4 linked regions of the Drosophila melanogaster genome follow. The protein of the gene in region 1 interacts with the protein of each later gene in a pairwise test. Each region holds a gene or a part of one and is shown in the gene's direction. Other genes may lie near its edges.

Region 1 (3,214 bases):
CCGGAGAGCAGGAGCCAGAACAGGAACAGAATCGGAATCGGAATCCGGATCAGGAGCCAAGGCAGGGGCACTGGCAGCATCAACAGCATTCAATTAATTTTCCGTACTTCTGCCATCCACAAAAGCGAAACTTTTGCAGTCCGACATCCGGCATTGTTGCCAACTTGAATGCTTATTTACGGACACAACAGCGCCAGAATCTCCCGGATTATGCCGAACATCATAAAACTTGTATCGACTCGTTAAACTGGCAAATGAAATGAACCCGACAGATGACAAAGCAGCCTCAATTATACGGATATCAAATGGAAATATGCAAAGTTAGTTGTAATATGGGGAATATTTCTTAGTATTAAACTATTGTGAACTATGCTAACGAGTAGTCTGATTAAATTTGAAAATATATTTAGTGAAGTGAGTGAGTTACTTCAAGTATGCCCGGAGCTTTCATTCATTTGCATGTATGGTTGTATTGTAGTAGCAGAACGAACACCTTCTTTGCATCGAAATTTCTCTAATAAGGTAATCGAATAGACGCAAGGATGTCCGCCGAAGTGGAGGAACTATTGAAGCGCTTTCAGTCCATGAAGAACGTCACCGGCATAGTTGTGGTGGACAACGACGGCATTCCGATCAAAACGACCCTGGACTACACTCTGACACTCCACTACGCGGCACTGATGCAAACGGTGCGGGAGAAGGCTCGCCAGGTGGTCCTGGATCTGGACGCCACCAACGAATTCACCTTCCTGCGGCTGCGGACTGAGCAGAATGAGGTGATGCTGTGCCCGCAGGAAGATTACTTCATCATGGTGATCCAGAGCCCGTGCGACTAGAGCACAATATTCCAGGCCCAAGCTCATTCCGCTGGCAATTATTTTCAGGCAGAGTGTTCAGTAAATGTTATTAAAATACTCGGCATAGTCTCGATTTCGCACACCAGCATTTCGTCATTAATAGCATTCAGTTGCAAATTATTTGCATTGGGAATCGCAATTGAATTGGAATGTCACTTGCGTGCGGAGCACTCTTATTCGATATGCATCCTTTGGCCCGCATGCATACATATACGATATGCATGGATCCTTTACCCCACGAAACCCGGCATCCTGTCCGGGCAAACTCATTTACAATAAATGAAGACTGACTGAGGCAGCCACGAAACAAATAAACTTTTTTGCGGCCTCGCCAGGATGCGAGCATGTAGGGATACGGATGCCACGGCCACCGAAGTGGAGGTTCCTCCTCTGGGCTTTGCTATTTTTCATTTAATTAAATATTTTACATGCAAAGTGCATTATGAGCAGTGGGCGAGGCAAAAACCAAGCAGATAACTTGGTAAAGTCACACGGGCGCCTCTCGGGAGGCCAGGACATCGATGCCAATCCATCTATCCACCGGTGCAGGACGAAACTATTCACTCGAGATAACTTCATGAACAGTTGTGGCAGGATATAGAGCACTACTGTCGCAGCCATCAATTCGAGACACCGCAAAAGGGGGGCAGAAAAGTGGATAAGTTATTTTTCACCTCGATCCTAGAGCCTTAACTTCATTAGCCTAATGACTAAATGCACTTTACCATGATCTACATCGATGTAGCTATTTTCTGCAGCTGCTTTTCCTGTTTCCTTACTGTTAGAGATGTTAATTGATTTTTTTTATAAACCTGTTCTTATTTATAGTTGTATTACCTTGGATTGGATCCTAGGATCATGTTTTCTTTATAAAATTTCCTTTTGACAATTGTAAATTAAATCCGAATCAAGCCAGTCGTCTTTCACCTGTCAGCATGTCCGGCGTAATCATATTTCTGTGTCTTCCAATCATTGTTTTCCATTTTCCCGAAAGCATGTGTGTCACTTAACAGCAAACATAACATAGATTGTTGGCTGCACACGTCCATCCCGAAATCCGTAATCCATAAACCGTGAACGTTACTCGTACAACCGATCCAATGATGTCCAGGAAAGGCAATCAACTCCACCCGTCATCAATCCGTCCATCATCGACCACACCGGACTGCAATCAGAAGCGGCGAGGCGACATGACAGCTCCTCCTCCGAACCCAAAGCCAGAGAAAAGCCGCATCATGGAGATGCATGCGATTTTTCTGGGGCACGACACTCGCGGCGACAATAAGATATCCATCCGGCACCTGGGCCACTGTCTGCGTGCGATGGGCGCCACTCCCACGGAGGCGATGGTCAGCAAACATGTCCGCCAGTACGAGGCCTCCACCATGCAGCGCATATGCTTCGATGAGGTCATGGGCATCTACTCCAGTCTTGGCAAGCACGGCGGCATGTTGTCTCCCAAGAAAAAACAGATCGAGGCGGACCAGTTCGTATCCAGTCTAAGGGTCTTTGATACGGATAAGTCCGGTTGGATTCCCGCCATCAGACTCCGGCGCATTCTAACCAAGACCGGGGAGTGCATGGGCAGCATGGAAGTGGACGAGCTGCTCCAGGGTAGGATCAACAAAGACGGCTTGGTCGACTACAAGAAGCTGGTTCAAGACATTATCTATGGGTAACTTGGGGGAAATCAAAAGGAAAGGAGAGTCATTCAGAGGAGCTGGAAATGGAAGAATAGCCCGGAAAACAAACCATATTTAGACAGGTGAAAAATGTGTTTCAAATAAATGTTTGTTTAAAAACCCAAAGAGAGCAACCTTAATGTTTCCAAAGCTATGCAGTCCAAAGAAGGATTGCATATTTTCAGGCGGTCTGAAAAAATAAGCAGCAAGGTACATACATATATACATATATATATGATAAGGGGTAATCATCAGATTAGGTAGATTTCTTTCCTATTCTGCTGGTATTATTTCATAAAATGTAACTGGAGAGTGGCATCTGTGAATCAATCGAAACTGCCCTCAGTGCCATTATTTATACAGAGTGCCCCACATATGGCATCATTAATTGTTCACCACACCCAGTACTCTGCAGGGAAATGAATGACCCAAAAAGGCAGCTGGACAGCTGAGTTCATCATCCATTTGGTAGTGGGATTCGGAATCGGAAACGCTGGCCGCCCAGAACAAGTGCAATGGATTGCAAATAATTTCAAAGCGCTGCCCCAAAACATGGAAAGTGCCTAATGCTAATGCGTGATGATGCCTCCAGCTGTGGTCAGCGATTCGGTGGGGAAGATTGGAAATAGGAGCACTAGTATTCGGGTGCGGCTGGTGGTGGCAATAAATGCGAAA
Region 2 (4,944 bases), on another chromosome or scaffold:
CGGCCAACAATGTGGTCGTCAGCAGTCAGGGCGCCACTCTGAGCACCATTTCGGTGACGCCCGCGGAATGTGTGACCCTTGTCAAGAGCGAGGAGCACCAGGCGGCCGAAGCAGCGGCAGCCGCAGCCCAAGCACACCAGCAAATGGTAGCCCATGCAGCAGCCCAGACCTCCATTGCGGCGGCGGCGGCTCAGGGACATGCCGTGAAGGTCTTAGAGATCACCTCCCTAGACTCCAACTCCCAGCGCGAGATACAACAAGTGAGTAGCTCCAAAGCAGTGAAGAGTTCCTTAGGGTCTTCAATCACCTCCTCTCCCCACGCAGGCGGTCAATCATCTGGAGCACCACCAGCAGCAGCTCCACCTGCAGCAGACGAATGGCCAACATCAGGGCGTTCCCACCATCCAGATAGGCCGCGATCACTATCAGCCATTGTTTGGCAATGCCGGCACCACTGCCTATACCACCACAGCGGCTACGAGCACATCGCACCGGCAAGACGACGAGTACGATGCCATTGGCGTGAATGTGGCGAGCAAACTGCGCTCCATCAACCCGACGCAGCGGATCGTGGCCGAGAAACTGATCAGCGACGTTCTATTCAACGCACAGCTGGGCAACCTCACCGTTCACTCGGCCCTCACGCAGTAATCTCTCTTGTCCCCCTAGACTAAGTATGTGTAGTCTCTGGCTTTATATCTCCATTTTGTCTGTGTCCCAACCTGCAGCCCGGCCAACATGTGTCGCCCGGGCAGCAGCCGATTGTACCATACAGTTTGCATGTAGTTTTAATTATTCTATACAATAAATAGATTGTATGTCTTAAGCTCATCACCAGAGGGTTTGTCATTCCGTCGAACTTCCTGCGCCCGTTAGCTTGTTCCACACAAACCTGGCAAACTGGACAAAAAGAGGAGCTGCTGTCTTGAGGTGATCGCCTTAAGAATTAGGACTAACATACCGTGACCGGCGGCATCTCGATCTGTTCCGCCTCCGTGACCAGTTTTCGGTTGCTCTGCATGTAGCTCCAGCCCAGATGGATCCCCACCAGACTGGGGATCATCACGACGGCCACCAGGTTGCGCGACACGAACGAGGGCTGCTTGCTCATCTTTACAAAATTCGTAAAACGGAATTATTATTATTTAACAGCTATCACAAATCAACAATGACGATGTGACCGCATTGCGATGTTTGTTTAATCTTATCAACGAAAAATACCAACCTATAACGCTGCCCCAAAACGGGCGGCTAGTTTTGAATAAAGTTTCTATCTCCCCCAACTTGGTCCAAAGTCCAACGTTTTCGGGGATAATAATGGGAAACTAAACGTCTCGCAATTCTTTGTCTGGGACTTCGATTGCTTGGGCAGATAAGCATCTGTCATTAGTTTGTTGCGGTGGCTGGTTTTAATAACAAATGCGGTGGAGGTGGTTAGAGTAGATCAATGGCATTGTAAAGGGGAACTTCACTTCTCGTAGGGTATATTAGTTGCTGCGAAATTCTTTAAAGACTTTTTGTGATTATAGAAGGCCTGAAGTAACTGGTAAGGTCCTTCGCTTTTATAACTAACATAAGATTATAATAGTTAAAAAACAAAAATGTGTAATTATACTACTTTACGTACAAGTTAAAATTGTCTAAGCTTTGAATTCAAATAACAGAAAGATGAAAAATAATTTTAGGTGCTTAAAGTTCTTAGTGGACAAACTAATTCGGAAAAATTAGAAAATATGTATGAAATAATTATAAGCTGAAATCTGAAATTTTAACTTAATCTGTTTTAAAAACCGTAAAATAAGCTATAAATTTATCGTCACAATAAAACCAATTTTATTTCAAATTATGAATTAAATTAGAAATTAAGTATGACCGTAACCTCCCGTCTCAATCCCTGTTCTGGTCACACTTTGCAGGCAAGGCGAAGAGGCAGTTAACTAACTGTTAATTGATAGCCCACTGCGTCGCCAACTAACCTTTTCCCATATTCCCAACTCAACCCATTAAGTGCGAAATCCACACCCGCGTCGCCGGAGGGGCGTGGGCGGGATCGGATGGGGCGCTGGCTTTGGGGCCAAGCTGGAGGCTAAGACGCGGATGCGGTCTATGCACTTTGCGCACACAAACAACAACGGCAGCGGCAGTAACAACAACAACGACAACAGTGGGCCAAAACAAACAAATTCTGTTATAGACGTCGACGTCGCTGCCGTTGTTGTTGCTATTCCATTTTGGACAGCACCTGCAATTTGAGTTGTAGTTTCAGTTTTAGTTTTGGGTTCCTGGCGAGCAGACGCTCCATTGGACAGTTTATACACATACACATACAGACCTACATATTTGTATTTTTGGTTGATTTGCAAGTGAGTTCTCCCACCCATAGTTGTGCCACCTGCCCCTAAATCCGACCTTTTTGCCAGTGCTGAAATCGATAGTGACCGTCATCCGTTTGCACCTGGAGGAGCTGTGGCTCAGGTAAGCGAATCGCCGGTGCGCAAGAACCCCGCCCCAATCACTCATCCTGCACGGCTACTACTCCGCCTGTCGGAACAGGCCAATCAAGCGATTACGTTCAAGGCCAGGGAATAGAAATTATTATTAGAAATAGAAATCCATAGAAGAAAACGACTATCACCTTCTTGTCACAAAGAAAAGAGGTCAATGGACAACTGCAGAATCATTGGAGAATATTGCATCAAGGACTTAAAGTGTAGAGTGCGTTAGGACTTCTTGTGTAGACAACATATAGCTCGATCGACATTAAGGTCAATATTTGATAATCAGTTAGATCTTATGATATTATGATCTACTTGATGGAAGCTGTGGAAAGAATGTTTTCACGTATTGACGCAGTCTAAATTTGCTTGGCCGGTATTTACCTATTCTATTTTTCGAAATGATATCAAAAGTCTATAATTCTGCTTAAGCAATATATTATTCATATCCATGGAGCTTGGTTTCATGTAATCTTTCTATGTATATCGCTGAAATCTGAACATTACCCTTTGAAGACCGTTTATAAGACCGTTTCATAATGGCTCATGCATTGTTTAAACTACTGCCTTAAACTAAAGGCGCGCATATTGTTCTTAAGCCCATTTTCAGTCGTAGTAGTTATACCATGTAACATTCGTTTCGGAATTTCAGCTTAGCCTAATTTCGATTTCTATAGAGATATCGCATTTTGAGTTTGTGAGATACTAATTGACGATATTTAACGAACGTGTTTTTGATTATAGCTTTAAGTGTTGACGTTTAATCCAGTATATTTCACCCCGACCAGGAAATAGCTTTCTAGCCGTATTTGTTTGGTTGCGTATACATCGTACCTTAACTAGGTAAAAATCAAAATGTTTACAGTCATTTACTTCATGATATTTACGACACATACGAGATTATACGAAAAATAATCTTTGCCCTTTTTCATGGTCTTTTGACCCCGTCGTAGAAGTTAGCAAATCGAGTTCTAATGAAATTCCGCTAACGACTTTGTATTACTTAGCTATCAGATCGTTAGTCCAGCCTCTTCATGTTATTCGTTGCATTTTTATGAGAAATTGTCATTTATTTTTTAAGGCCTTTAGTCGGTCTAATGGTAAATGCATGATTATCACTAAAATATTGGTCGCAAAAGACCATATAAAGCAGTATATATCAGAGGATTTAGGAATTCAAATCACTTTAGACTGTCCGAAATCCCAATCGGGTTACTGAATAATGTTATCCTTCTTCAGCTTGGCCAGCTCATCCGGCCCGTAACCCAGTAGTTCGCCCAGCACTTCATCCGTGTGCTGGCCAAGAATCGGAGGAGCTGTCCGGGCATCGTTTCGCGCTTCGCTGAAGGTCACAGGAGGACCAACCACCTTGACTGTTTCGTCCTTGGGATGCCGCAGGCTTTTCACCAGGCCAATGGCTTTTATATGCTCGTCCTCGAAGACCTCGGGAATGGAGTTAACAGGTCCCACGGGAAAGGAGGCGCCCTCGAAAAGTTTCATCCAGTTGCGCGAGGTGTCCTCGGATAGCATTTGCTCTAGGATTCCCAGCAGCTCCACTCGATTGGTCACACGATCCTTGTTGGTCTTGAATTTGGGATTCTGCGCCAAATGTTCCACTTTTAGGCGGCGACACAGGTCCACAAACTGAACATCACTGCCAGTGCCCAGGGTGAGATAGCCGTCCTTCGTCTTGAAGCTCTGATACGGAACGATGCTGGAGTGTGCGGTGCCCATCCTTCCTGCTTCGACCCCGGAATTCAGGTAGTTGCTACCCACGTTGAGCAGCAGGGAGCAGCAGGTGGACAACAGGTCGACTTCGATCTTCTGGCCACGTTGCGTGCGGGTCCTTTGATAGAGGGCTGCCAAAATTGCTCCATGGGCGTACAGTCCTGTGGACATATCCGTCACAGCCACGCCCACCTTGCTGGGCGGTCCATCCCGCTCGCCGGTGATGTGCATCAGTCCTCCAACCGAGGAGGCAATCACATCGTAGCCGGGTCGCTTGGCATACGGTCCCACAGAGCCATAACCCGTCATTGAGCAATAGATCAGTTTGGGATTCACCTTACGCAACTGCTCGTAGCCCAGGCCGTAACGCTCCAAGGTGCCGGGCACATAATTCTCCACCAGCACGTCGCTAATCTCGGCCAGGCGATGAAGGAGTTGCGTGCCGCGCTTGATATCGATGCAGATGCTCCGTTTATTGCGATTGGGAGCCAGGAAGTAGGCGGCATCGTTGCTGTTCTTTAGAAAGGGTGGTCCCCACTTACGCGCCTCATCGCCAAAGTGTGGACGCTCCACCTTGATAACTTCCGCGCCGAGATCCGCCAGAACCATGGTGCAATAGGGGCCGGCGATGATGCGCGATAGGTCCAAAATCCGGATACCATGCAGCGGGTGGCGTTCGTCCACATCGCTGGCATTAGCATTATCGGCTGCGTTGTTTTTA
Region 3 (6,812 bases), on another chromosome or scaffold:
TGCGGCTGCAGATCGCTAAACTTGGTGATCAAATGGACCAAGTGCTCCGTATAGCGAGTGGCCATCAGTGAGCACTTTCCCTCCTCGAAATTCCGTTCGCAGTTTTCATCACGTCCATTGGGATCGAAGATATAGTACGAGTTTAAGCAGCGCTTCCAGATCAGCAGGAAGAGATCCCGGGACGTAAAGATGCAGGCATTGTATTTGGAGAAGAATAGGGAAAGTGCTTTGTACATATTTGGTTCGTTTTTCAAAAGTCCCGAGAAGTGTATCTTAATCTCAACGGCGGCGTCTCGTTCCGCAACCTGTTGGATTATATCGAAATCATTCACGTCTGACTTGTAGTTTAGGTCGGCGCTCTTTTTGGTCAATTTCACTCCGCGCTTTAGAATCCCATCCATTGTAGATCCCGTCCAGAAATCGGGATTCAAACGAAAGGTCTCTACGAAAGCGACTATAATGGCACCGATTTCACTAGGCCGATAATAGTACCTGGATTTAATGTAAGGAGGAGTTATATATTTTATTGGAGGGTATTAGTAACTAAGCATTACTAGCAAAGAAATCAGATTACTCACTGCAAACGGTTGGGCTCCTTCTTTGGTTCAGGATAGATGTTCCGATTCCCAAACACAATCTCAGCAGTAAACGTCTTTTCCAGCTGTTGTGGTATATTATAGAGCGTAAGTTCGCCGTCGTTTTCTGTGAAATTTTGAAAAGCCTAGATTAGGAATGCAAATCTCTTGGAAAAAAGATAGTTCTATTCGCTAACTACACACCATATTTCGGCAGGGAGGCGGATATGAACTCCTGATCCATATGCTCCTCTCTCTTCTGGTAGCCCACATTCCAGGTCCACAAATCCTGTGGACTGCAGCCCTCAATGATATCGAAGGTCTTGAGGTTTTCTCCTTCTAAGCCTTCTTGCAGGATTCGCGGATTGTAAGATGAAAAGGGGAGCTCCTCCAAGGGTCCAACTTCAGTTTCGTTTAGGTATATGCGACTCTTGGGACGCTTTAGCTCCAACTGCGCAGGTTGTATAAATATATCATTTCTTTTTTTTAAGATTATATTAATATTCAATGAGGTCGGTAAATTAAATTTATAATTGCAACCGATATACATGAATAAAATAAAAATAAGCTAAAATACATTACAACCATATCCAAATAATTTCTGTATGTGTGGTCAACAAATGGCGCACTTAGTGTAACCCAAATTGCGTAAGGATATGTCCAGCCAATTGAAATATTCAGTGAATTCATAGTCTTGGCTGGCGATGGATTGGGTAACATATGGCCAGTTATCAACGCTTGGCTCTGTGCAAGCTCTGTGCTTTCACTCGGCGACTCGGTTTTCCTGGCCATGGCCATAAGCTTTTAATGCGGCTGAAAATAGCACGCATACGCCACCGATGCCCGACGCCCCGTTGGTCTTTGCCTTGGTCTTGGTCTGGGTATGGCATTTCAGTATTGTGTTGTATGGCAAGGTATGGTATGGATGGTATTTACGGGAGGCCTGTTTTTTCTCCTCCGCTGTTTTTTGCGCTCATCAAGAAGTTAGTTAGCGGCATAAGGTAAGCACGAAATGCCAACTAGACTGACTATAACGACCTGATGTCGCCGCGCTATATGTGGTATACGATGGCATGCGCTATATATGTATGGGTTCGCAGTGCGTCTGTGTTGGTGAGTGTGCCTCTATGGCTGGCTGGCCACGATGACGGGCACCAAACAACAGAGGCGTCCCATGCACAGAGCAGTAAACAACGAACAGCGCTTAGTGCCACATCACGGAATCTTATCGCTCTCGTTCGTTCGGTCGTCCAAAAGCCAAAAACCCAACCAGACCAAAAACCGACTAGCCCGAGACCAAAAACCCGGACCCCGAGCAAATACGAAGCTGCCTCGGCTGCAGAACAAACAAGTCATCTAGTAAGTAGCGTGCTGCAGCAAAAACAGAAACAACAGGCATCCAAATCGACGACCAGGTGAACCAGGTGAGCGCCGCAGTATCGCACTGTTATAGCATACGACCACGTCAATACCAATACTAACACCAATACCAAGGCGCACTTGCCAACAGTACAAGTCGGTTCCAATTCCAACAACGCAACCCTCTTTCCATGGGCGAGCTAGCTGGCAAAATGTCAAACTAGGCGGGGTTACGATGGGGCTCGGTGTGTTCCGCGTACGGGGACTTCAGACACATGATCATTCGCAAGGCAGGTGTGGTGGGATGTCCACTTAATTATATTTTATTTTAAGAACAATACTTTGAGAAGACAAATGCTTATTTTATTCATGTAGTGGGATCCAAAGGACATGTTTTTTTGAGTTATCATATACCTTATGCAAACGAATATTCTTAATATATAATTAAATGTCAGTGAAATACAAGAAAATGACCATAAGTTATTAATTTCATCCAGAGACCTAATTCAAAGAAAGACTAGGAACTGCTGAAGTATTCCACTTTAAGGCAGCCCTTTCATCAATGATGCTGAGGCTGCAAGAGCAAACTTCGAGATGGCTTAAAACTCAACTTAAGTTTGGTATTTGCGAGGTGCAGCCGCCCAGCGAAATTGAGATACACATGCATATGGGGATGGACAGCCAAGTGTTTTGTAAGCAGCGGTCTGGCACCTCGAAAAACAGAGCTTGTCTGCATATACAGAGAAAACTTCAAAAGAGTAAACTTCATTTAATAGTTTTATTTCAAGGACCTTTTTAATAGCTAGTATATAGCTAACAAAAATAATGCTGAACAGAATTGATGTTCTTTTAGTGCCTAAAACATACAATAACTATACCTTTTTAGACAGTTAGTTTAAATGAACGAATAATAGGGAATTTCTCTGTTGTCTAACAACGATCTGGACCGATAAGAAGCTAGCTATGAACGCCCCAAAGACTTTAGAGCGAGCTTATATCACTTCGGCCACCAAACGAATCGTTGGAAGAGTAAAAGTAGACAGGCTCTTATCTGTGACGCAAAGGTAATTAGCCAAGATAGAGCGAGGTTTTTGCGGCGGGCAATCCGACGAGGAATCGGACTTTAATCGGTAACCCAGCATATAGCCTTGCCACCCCCTCCTGTCATCGCCACGCTCCTGCTCCTTCCACCGACAACAAAAATTGATACATAACAAACAACAAACGCGGCGAAACGCAAACGCATATGACACAAGAGCGAAGCGACTGCAACCGCACTGCTTTTGCATACCATGCCCACTGCCGATGCAATAGACCAACAACGCACATAACAGCGGGCAAATAGAGAGTTTCACTTTTTAGGTGCAGACATGTATTTATACATGTATACATATGTACATATATACTAGATACATAAGATCAGCAAATTAACAATTAACGCCTTAAAAGTAGTCGATGTTACCAGGGTTCCCAAAGTATTTGGGGTATTTGCAGGATAAGGACTGTAATTGAATATTTGAAAGCCTTAATATTAATTCATAAAAAAACTGCCATGTTTTATTACTAGAATTAAGCCTTTCTGCAGTTGATAACTGCATTTGTTATTAATATGACAAATATGAAATTGTATATATTGTTTTGTTTTCGCCAACTATAATTACTTATGAAACCCAAAATATTCTGCTTGCTTCCCTGGTTTGCCAGAATCAGCTCTAATCTCTTCCTACAATCAAATCATCTAAGCATTGTCTAGTGGTTTAATACCCTTTCTAGTGAAGTACGCTAGTAACTTGACCTGCACTGTACAAAAGTAACAGCTGCGTTGCTACAACAGCAAACACCATGCAAAAGGGATTGAGCATAGTGAACCGTTTTTATTTCATACGGAGCGCGCACTGAACGCACACACACACAGGCGCAGAGAAACGAAGAGCGGAACCAAGAAACAGAAACAGGGCACACAAGTGTGTTATTACTCAGTAATTGTAAAAATGTCAGAGGCGCAACAACAAAAGCTAATACAGAGGCAAAGCGAATTTGAGAACGTGCCGTGCCAACTTTCGTAAAAAGTGACTAACAAACGCTTAGCCATTTGCATCAACAGTATTAATATTGCTTTTATTTCTGTTTTATTACGTTTTCTCTGTAACAGCTTCAAAAAGGAGTCTCGCACGAACACATCTCTATCTCCCTCTGACGCATGATCTAAGTGGCGCGAGAGCGGAACGACTACAGCCGTAAGAGCGCAAGAAGCTGCTGCGCAGTTATCGGAAAAGAAGAAGTGGAGAAGGAAAAGAAGGAGAACGGAAAGAGCAGAAACCTAGTTGCAATTGACTTAACACAACTATTGAAATGGCTGCTATTGCCGCCCTGCCAACAACAACGTTGCGGCGCAACAACAACAACAACACCAAAGGGGTAAGTAGTCGCAAAGGGACAAGGGACCAGATATGTCTGTTAACTTGGCCCTTAAGCGACCCGCTGAGGGTGGATTTTATAACGTGTCTCGAGTGGACACGCGGCAGTTACACTAAACACGTGTACACAAGCATATGCATACATATGTACATGTATACCGCACACATATCGTACATTCATTTACCCTTGAGCTGCGTGGCTTGCAACCAAGGTCCTTTACATGCACACCCTTTGCATGATCGAAACGGAGGCCGTTAATCCCTTAAGGCTAGCTTAGTGTTGCAGTTCGTATAGGCCTCTGTTTTCATTGTAATGCCAAATTCGCACTATGTTCATATACAACAATAATATTATCTATAAAAATGTACAAATTCTATAGAGCTTATTGGAAAAGAAATATACGTATATATATATATACGACACTGAGAGAAAAAATTACTTATCCGCCCAGTAACACTTCTGCATGGAAATTTTCGACAGGATATAAGAGGTGGTCAACAAATGTGGCTTGTACCCTAATAGTTGCAGATATCTAATAATTTATTAAATTGCTTAAAATATATTTAATACTAATCTTAGGTTAATCTTATACTCTTCCCTCTCTATATTTTAGATCAAATCCCGTCGCAATGAGCGTAACATCCTGACATTCTACGAAAAGATTGCCGTAATCCGTTACTATGACGAGACCAACATCTCTAGGAACAGTCTGGCCAAGATGTTCCACTGCTGCGCCACCCAAATACGTAGAATCTTGGATAAGAAAAAGGATCTGCTGCAGCAGTTGGCCACCTTAAGCGAGGCAGATGCCTCCATTATAATCGAAGAGATGACGCGCAAGCGCCGCAAGTTCGAAATGAGTGCCATCAGCTTCCTACTACACGAGTGGGTGGAAAGGTGCATCCAAATGCAGTTGAACATCAGCATAAGGAACCAAAAACTGAAGGAAACCGCCATCCGGATGGCAGCTGTGTTGAACCTGCCATCCTTCAGACCATCCTATCGATGGCTAAGCCGATTCCGCAACAAGTACAAGTACGAGGCCGATGAATTGGGCTACCAGGGCGAAAATCCCTTGAACCAGGACCTGCCTGTCGAAGACATCATTGTGGAGTTTAAGCATGCACTGCCGAACTTCATGCAACGGGAGCTGGATAATCCAGGCGAAGCAATCTCAAAAGCAGCTGTTATGGCAGATTTTGTCAATCTCTCCAGCGAAAACAGTATCATGTCCGATCATCCAGAGGGGGATAATGAAGTGGAGCTGGTAACATGTGAGCCCACCATGATGTCCTCACCATCCAGCACACCAGATGCTGCAGAGGGGGAAATACCTCTGCAGGCACATGGCGACCAGGAAAACCCGGATGATCAGATTAACGCTGGAACCAGTACTCTTCTGAATGGGGTTTTTCCGCATCTAGCCATTATCCACCAGTTCGCTCTGATGAACTCGGATGTACAGGCATTGGAACTTATCTCCCAGCTGGGAGTGCACATGCAGCAACAGGCTGTTTCTGGAGCTTATCATAACCTGTCGCTGGCGACTACCGATGGAGATGGGCAAGACGATCCAGGAGAAATCGCTCTTTCGGAACTGCCACCGGGAAGTATTTACGCCGATATCGATGACATCGAATTGATCGAGTAAAAACATCAATTTATCAAAAGGTTAAAGCTAGTCTAAACTTATGCCTCAGCGTAGTCGACTGTTATTTATAATCAACAAATCGTTTTGTTATGAACTTAAATGAGTTCATTTCACCAAAAAAGTACTTAAGGCCTTCGACTTTTATTAAGATTAATTCTTAAAACAACAACAATAAGAGATCTACTTCATAATTTAGTTTAAATCAAATTCGATTTGATTGATTAAAAGGTTAATAAACCAGAATTGCTTATTATGATCATGTTAAAATTTAATAATCCGCAGATAATTTGGAAATGGTGGTAATTTGGGATACGTAGTTTATACGAATCGAGAAATATTGTCTATACCAAGTTTATAAGCTATATCTAAACATACCATGCGTTTGTCCGGAATAATTATCATATCAGAACTGCATTCTGGAGTGGCTAGTTGTGGCTTGACCTCGCCCTCCTCCTCTTCCTCGCCCTCCTCCGCCTGTTGTTCCTCCTCGCCCATGTCCATGGGACTGTTGAGGACGACGAGATCTTTGGGACATGGCCTATCGACCCTGGCGTCGTGCTCGACGAGTCCAAAGTCCTTGCGCGCGGCCAGAATTCGCTCTCGCATCTCGGCATGGGTCTTTAGCTCCGCTGGAGTTCGTTGTGGCACGATGCACATGGTTAAATCGTCGTAGAGGTCACATTTCTTTTTATAGGGCTTTGTGAAGCGGGATTCCTCCGCCTTGTGGTGGATGCGACGCAGCTCATCCTCGATGGTTAGCACTTGGGAGATCGTGGAGTTGGGTGGCTTTTTCTGACAGACGCGATCGC
Region 4 (3,191 bases), on another chromosome or scaffold:
TCCTCCAAGGTGGCCATGTTCAACAACCAGGCCACGCAGCACAAGCAGTCGCAGCTGCTGAATCCATTTTCCCAGGACGGACGCGCCGCCTCGCCGAAACCCACTTTCTCGAAGGATCAGTATGGAAAACCACTGGCCGGCAGCCTTACAGAGATGCGTGGCCAGAAGGCCAACATCCACGTGATGAAGGAGATGCTGGAGCTCTGCCAGATCATCAATTCGGAGGGCTACGACGTCAAGGACGAGCCCACTATGCGTGTGATCCCCTTCGGCGAACTTTTTAATGTGAGTGTCCTGTTTACAGCTGGTATATTTTTCGAAAAGCCCTCTAAACTGGTCACTTCCACTCTACAGATCTATAACTACATATCCGACAAGGTGGTGGGCATCCTGCTGCGGGCCCGCAAACACAAGTTGGTAGACTTCGAGGGCGAGATGTTGTACCAGCGGAGGGACGATGACGTTCCCGTCTTTCTGCTGAAGCCCATCAAGGAAATACGCAGTGAGATGGAGGCCAAGATTGAAGACATCAAGAGGGCGGCTAGTCCAGCGCCTCCGCAGTCCACCTCGGTGCTGATGGATCGCAGTGCTCACGAACAAAAACTGAAGTCGAGGACTCCCTCGCCGGCTGTGGGCAAGTCCGCCAAGTCGAAGTCAGCGTCGCCGGCACCCAAGGCTCCTGTACCTGTTCCTGCGCCTGCTGCAGAAGTCACGCCTGTGGCTGGGCCCACAACTTCTGCAGAACCTGCTCCTGTGGCAGAGTCCACTATGGCAGCAGTTCCAGCTCCGTCTACAGAGCCCACACCGGCAACAGCTCCTGCTTCGAGTACCGTTGAGATCGAGCCAGCCAAGCCAGAGGTGACCGAACAGGCGCCCGTGGCTGTGATAGTCACAGAAGCACCATCCACAGAAGAAACCACACCAACCACCAGCGAACCGCAGGCGGAGGAAGCACCCGCTGCAGTTGCACCGGCAGGACCTGCTGATGACTTACCCACAATTGTGATTGAAGCCACCGCCGAGTTTGTACGCACCGTCAGCGTGGAGCAGCTGGCGCCCAGTCCCGGAACGGCCAGCGAGTCCTCGCCAGACCAGTCCCAATCCCAACCAGAGTCGACGCCCGCTTAAGGCGGAACAGGGAGCTTGTTAGCTGGGAAGGAAGGAAGGAACATCCCCTTAAATCGTTTAAAAGGAACTCTCGCAACTACTAAAGCGGCAGCTTTAAATTGCAGTAGTTTAGTTTACGGCGTACTTAGTTTAATTTACAATTAGAGCAACACAACACTGAAGACAGAATCGAGAGTAACTTTTTATTTATTATTATTACTTGTATATTATTAATGGACGACCAAAGGAGCCAGTTTCCTCAATTTGTTAACCATTACTCTATGGAAATGAACTACGGTTTCCCACTCACAAAAGTTGGGAACGTGCAAGGCAATAAAATACTAATAAAATAAATACACGTACATAGACACAATATAACCAAGTCCTGTTTTTCTAGTTTCAAAACGATTGGAAGTGCTGGTTTCATAACTAACTAAATGACTCATTGCCTAGGCAGTTTTATGTGCTCTTTCTCGTAGTTGTTCTCTGCTTTTAATCTTTAATTAAAAATTCGGCCGTTACTATATCAACTTTTCTTCGCGATAGTTATCGATAAGTATATCAATTGCAGGGCAGCAAAGCAAAGTTAAGAGGACGAGGCGTGGGTATCGATTAACGATACTTCGTAATTTCAAGCAGCTGATATCGATTGGACGACAGGGCTGGACCTCACAAATAAATATAAAACCAAAATATTCAGTGGTTTCTCAATTTGAAGAATAATACAAACGGAAAATGTCTGCCCTGCGCCGTGATGTGTCGCCTTTAATCCAGCGCATTCGGGCCTTCCTCCTGGGTGTGAGTATCCGACATTTGGACAGCGACCGCAGAGAACTCGGTTCTCAGTTATATAAGACGGAAAATGTGAATCTCTGATTAATCTGGACGCCAATTACAGCGGGAGCACAACCTGGCCCTGCGCTTCGAGGACGGACTGGCCGATCGCACCCAGCCACAGCCGGAAATCCCTGACGGTCCATCGCATCTACTCTCGGCCAACTACTACTGCCAGCGGGATGGACGTCGCGAGGTTCTGCCGCCCATCGACCTGGTGGAGCAGCAGAAGCAGCTGGCGGCAGAGGGGGAAGCGGCGAAGGCCCCGTCTTCCAAGCTGCCCACTCCCGGCAAGGTCTATGCCTGGGATTAATGGGCCGCATCACCGCGGGAATCGCCTTTTTTTGAGTTGTAGTACGAGCCGGTTAAAGCTAATATAGAATCAAATTGAAGCAGAAATGCGTGCATTGGTATGTTCAGTGATGAAGGGCCAAGTGAAAGGCCCCTTACCAGCCCACAATGTTTCGAAACCCCACTTCCGGGAAAAATCACCATCCATTTTTTTTTGAGTTGTAGTACGAGCCGGTTAAAGCTAATATAGAATCAAATTGAAGCAGGAATGCGGGCATTGGTATGTCCAGTTATGGGGGGCCAAGTGAGAACCCCTTACCAGTCCACATTATTTCCAAATCACACTCGCCGGAAAAAACACCATCCATCACTGGATATCATTATGTACAAGTATTTTATTCAAATATTTACAGAGCCCATCACTTACAACTAGTTAAAAAAAAAAAATCACAATCCAGGAACACCTAATAGACGCGCGGCTTGAGGCCACAATTGATTCCGGTGGTCGAGCGCAGGATAACGTTCAGTACGGGCTGGACTTCTTCGCCCAGAGGCAGCAACTCAAAGTGTCTCACCATTTTGCTGATGGTGCTCTTCATCTCGAGCATTGCGAACTTTTGGCCGATGCAGTTTCTCGGACCCGCTGAGAAGGGAGTATAGGCGAATGGACTGATCTCGCCCTTGCGCTCCATGCTGAAACGATCAGGGATGAACTTCTCCGGATCAGGGAAGTAGTCTGGATCGCGCTGAGCATGGTAAATAAGAATGATCACATTCGAGTCGGCGGGTATCAATTTGCCGTCGAGTACGGTGTCCTGGGAAATGTAGCGTCCAATGATCGGCACCGAGGGAAACAGGCGCAGAGACTCCTTTATCACGCACTCTAAGTACTTGAGCTCGCCGAGTAGCTTCATAGTAACTGGAGCCGACTTGTCATCACCGATAACATCTCTGACCTC

Evidence for each region.
Region 2: the proteins of CG17237 (region 1) and CG5191 interact in a two-hybrid assay, tested with the Drosophila melanogaster proteins (one large-scale study listed by BioGRID).
Region 3: the proteins of CG17237 (region 1) and ebd2 interact in a two-hybrid assay, tested with the Drosophila melanogaster proteins (one large-scale study listed by BioGRID).
Region 4: the proteins of CG17237 (region 1) and ND-B14.5A interact in a two-hybrid assay, tested with the Drosophila melanogaster proteins (one large-scale study listed by BioGRID).

The regions. Positions count from the first base shown.
Region 1 is NT_033779.5:2,287,951-2,291,164, reverse strand, and holds CG17237 (uncharacterized protein), read left to right. Parts: upstream 1-1,748; 5' UTR 1,749-1,957; coding exon 1,958-2,536; 3' UTR 2,537-2,662; downstream 2,663-3,214. Other genes in the region: robl22E, read left to right, coding at 543-836.
Region 2 is NT_033777.3:20,558,937-20,563,880, forward strand, and holds the start of CG5191 (uncharacterized protein), read left to right. Parts: upstream 1-1,928; 5' UTR 1,929-2,362; coding exon 2,363-2,363; exon of another isoform or gene 2,364-2,420; coding exon 2,421-2,475; intron 2,476-3,549; exon of another isoform or gene 3,550-3,707; coding exon of another isoform or gene 3,708-4,944. Other genes in the region: CG5180 (uncharacterized protein), read left to right, coding at 1-260, 325-651; CG15922 (uncharacterized protein), read right to left, coding at 847-900, 962-1,111; CG10877 (uncharacterized protein), read right to left, coding at 3,708-4,944.
Region 3 is NT_037436.4:21,344,229-21,351,040, reverse strand, and holds ebd2 (earthbound 2), read left to right. Parts: upstream 1-1,752; 5' UTR 1,753-1,999; intron 2,000-3,971; exon of another isoform or gene 3,972-4,003; intron 4,004-4,086; 5' UTR 4,087-4,286; coding exon 4,287-4,352; intron 4,353-4,965; coding exon 4,966-6,003; 3' UTR 6,004-6,273; downstream 6,274-6,812. Other genes in the region: CG32436 (uncharacterized protein), read right to left, coding at 1-492, 579-702, 780-1,026, 6,379-6,812.
Region 4 is NC_004354.4:2,170,801-2,173,991, forward strand, and holds ND-B14.5A (NADH dehydrogenase (ubiquinone) B14.5 A subunit), read left to right. Parts: upstream 1-1,725; 5' UTR 1,726-1,842; coding exon 1,843-1,905; intron 1,906-2,005; coding exon 2,006-2,254; 3' UTR 2,255-2,632; downstream 2,633-3,191. Other genes in the region: CG3630 (uncharacterized protein), read left to right, coding at 1-285, 355-1,128; Cyp4d14 (cytochrome P450 4d14), read right to left, coding at 2,697-3,191.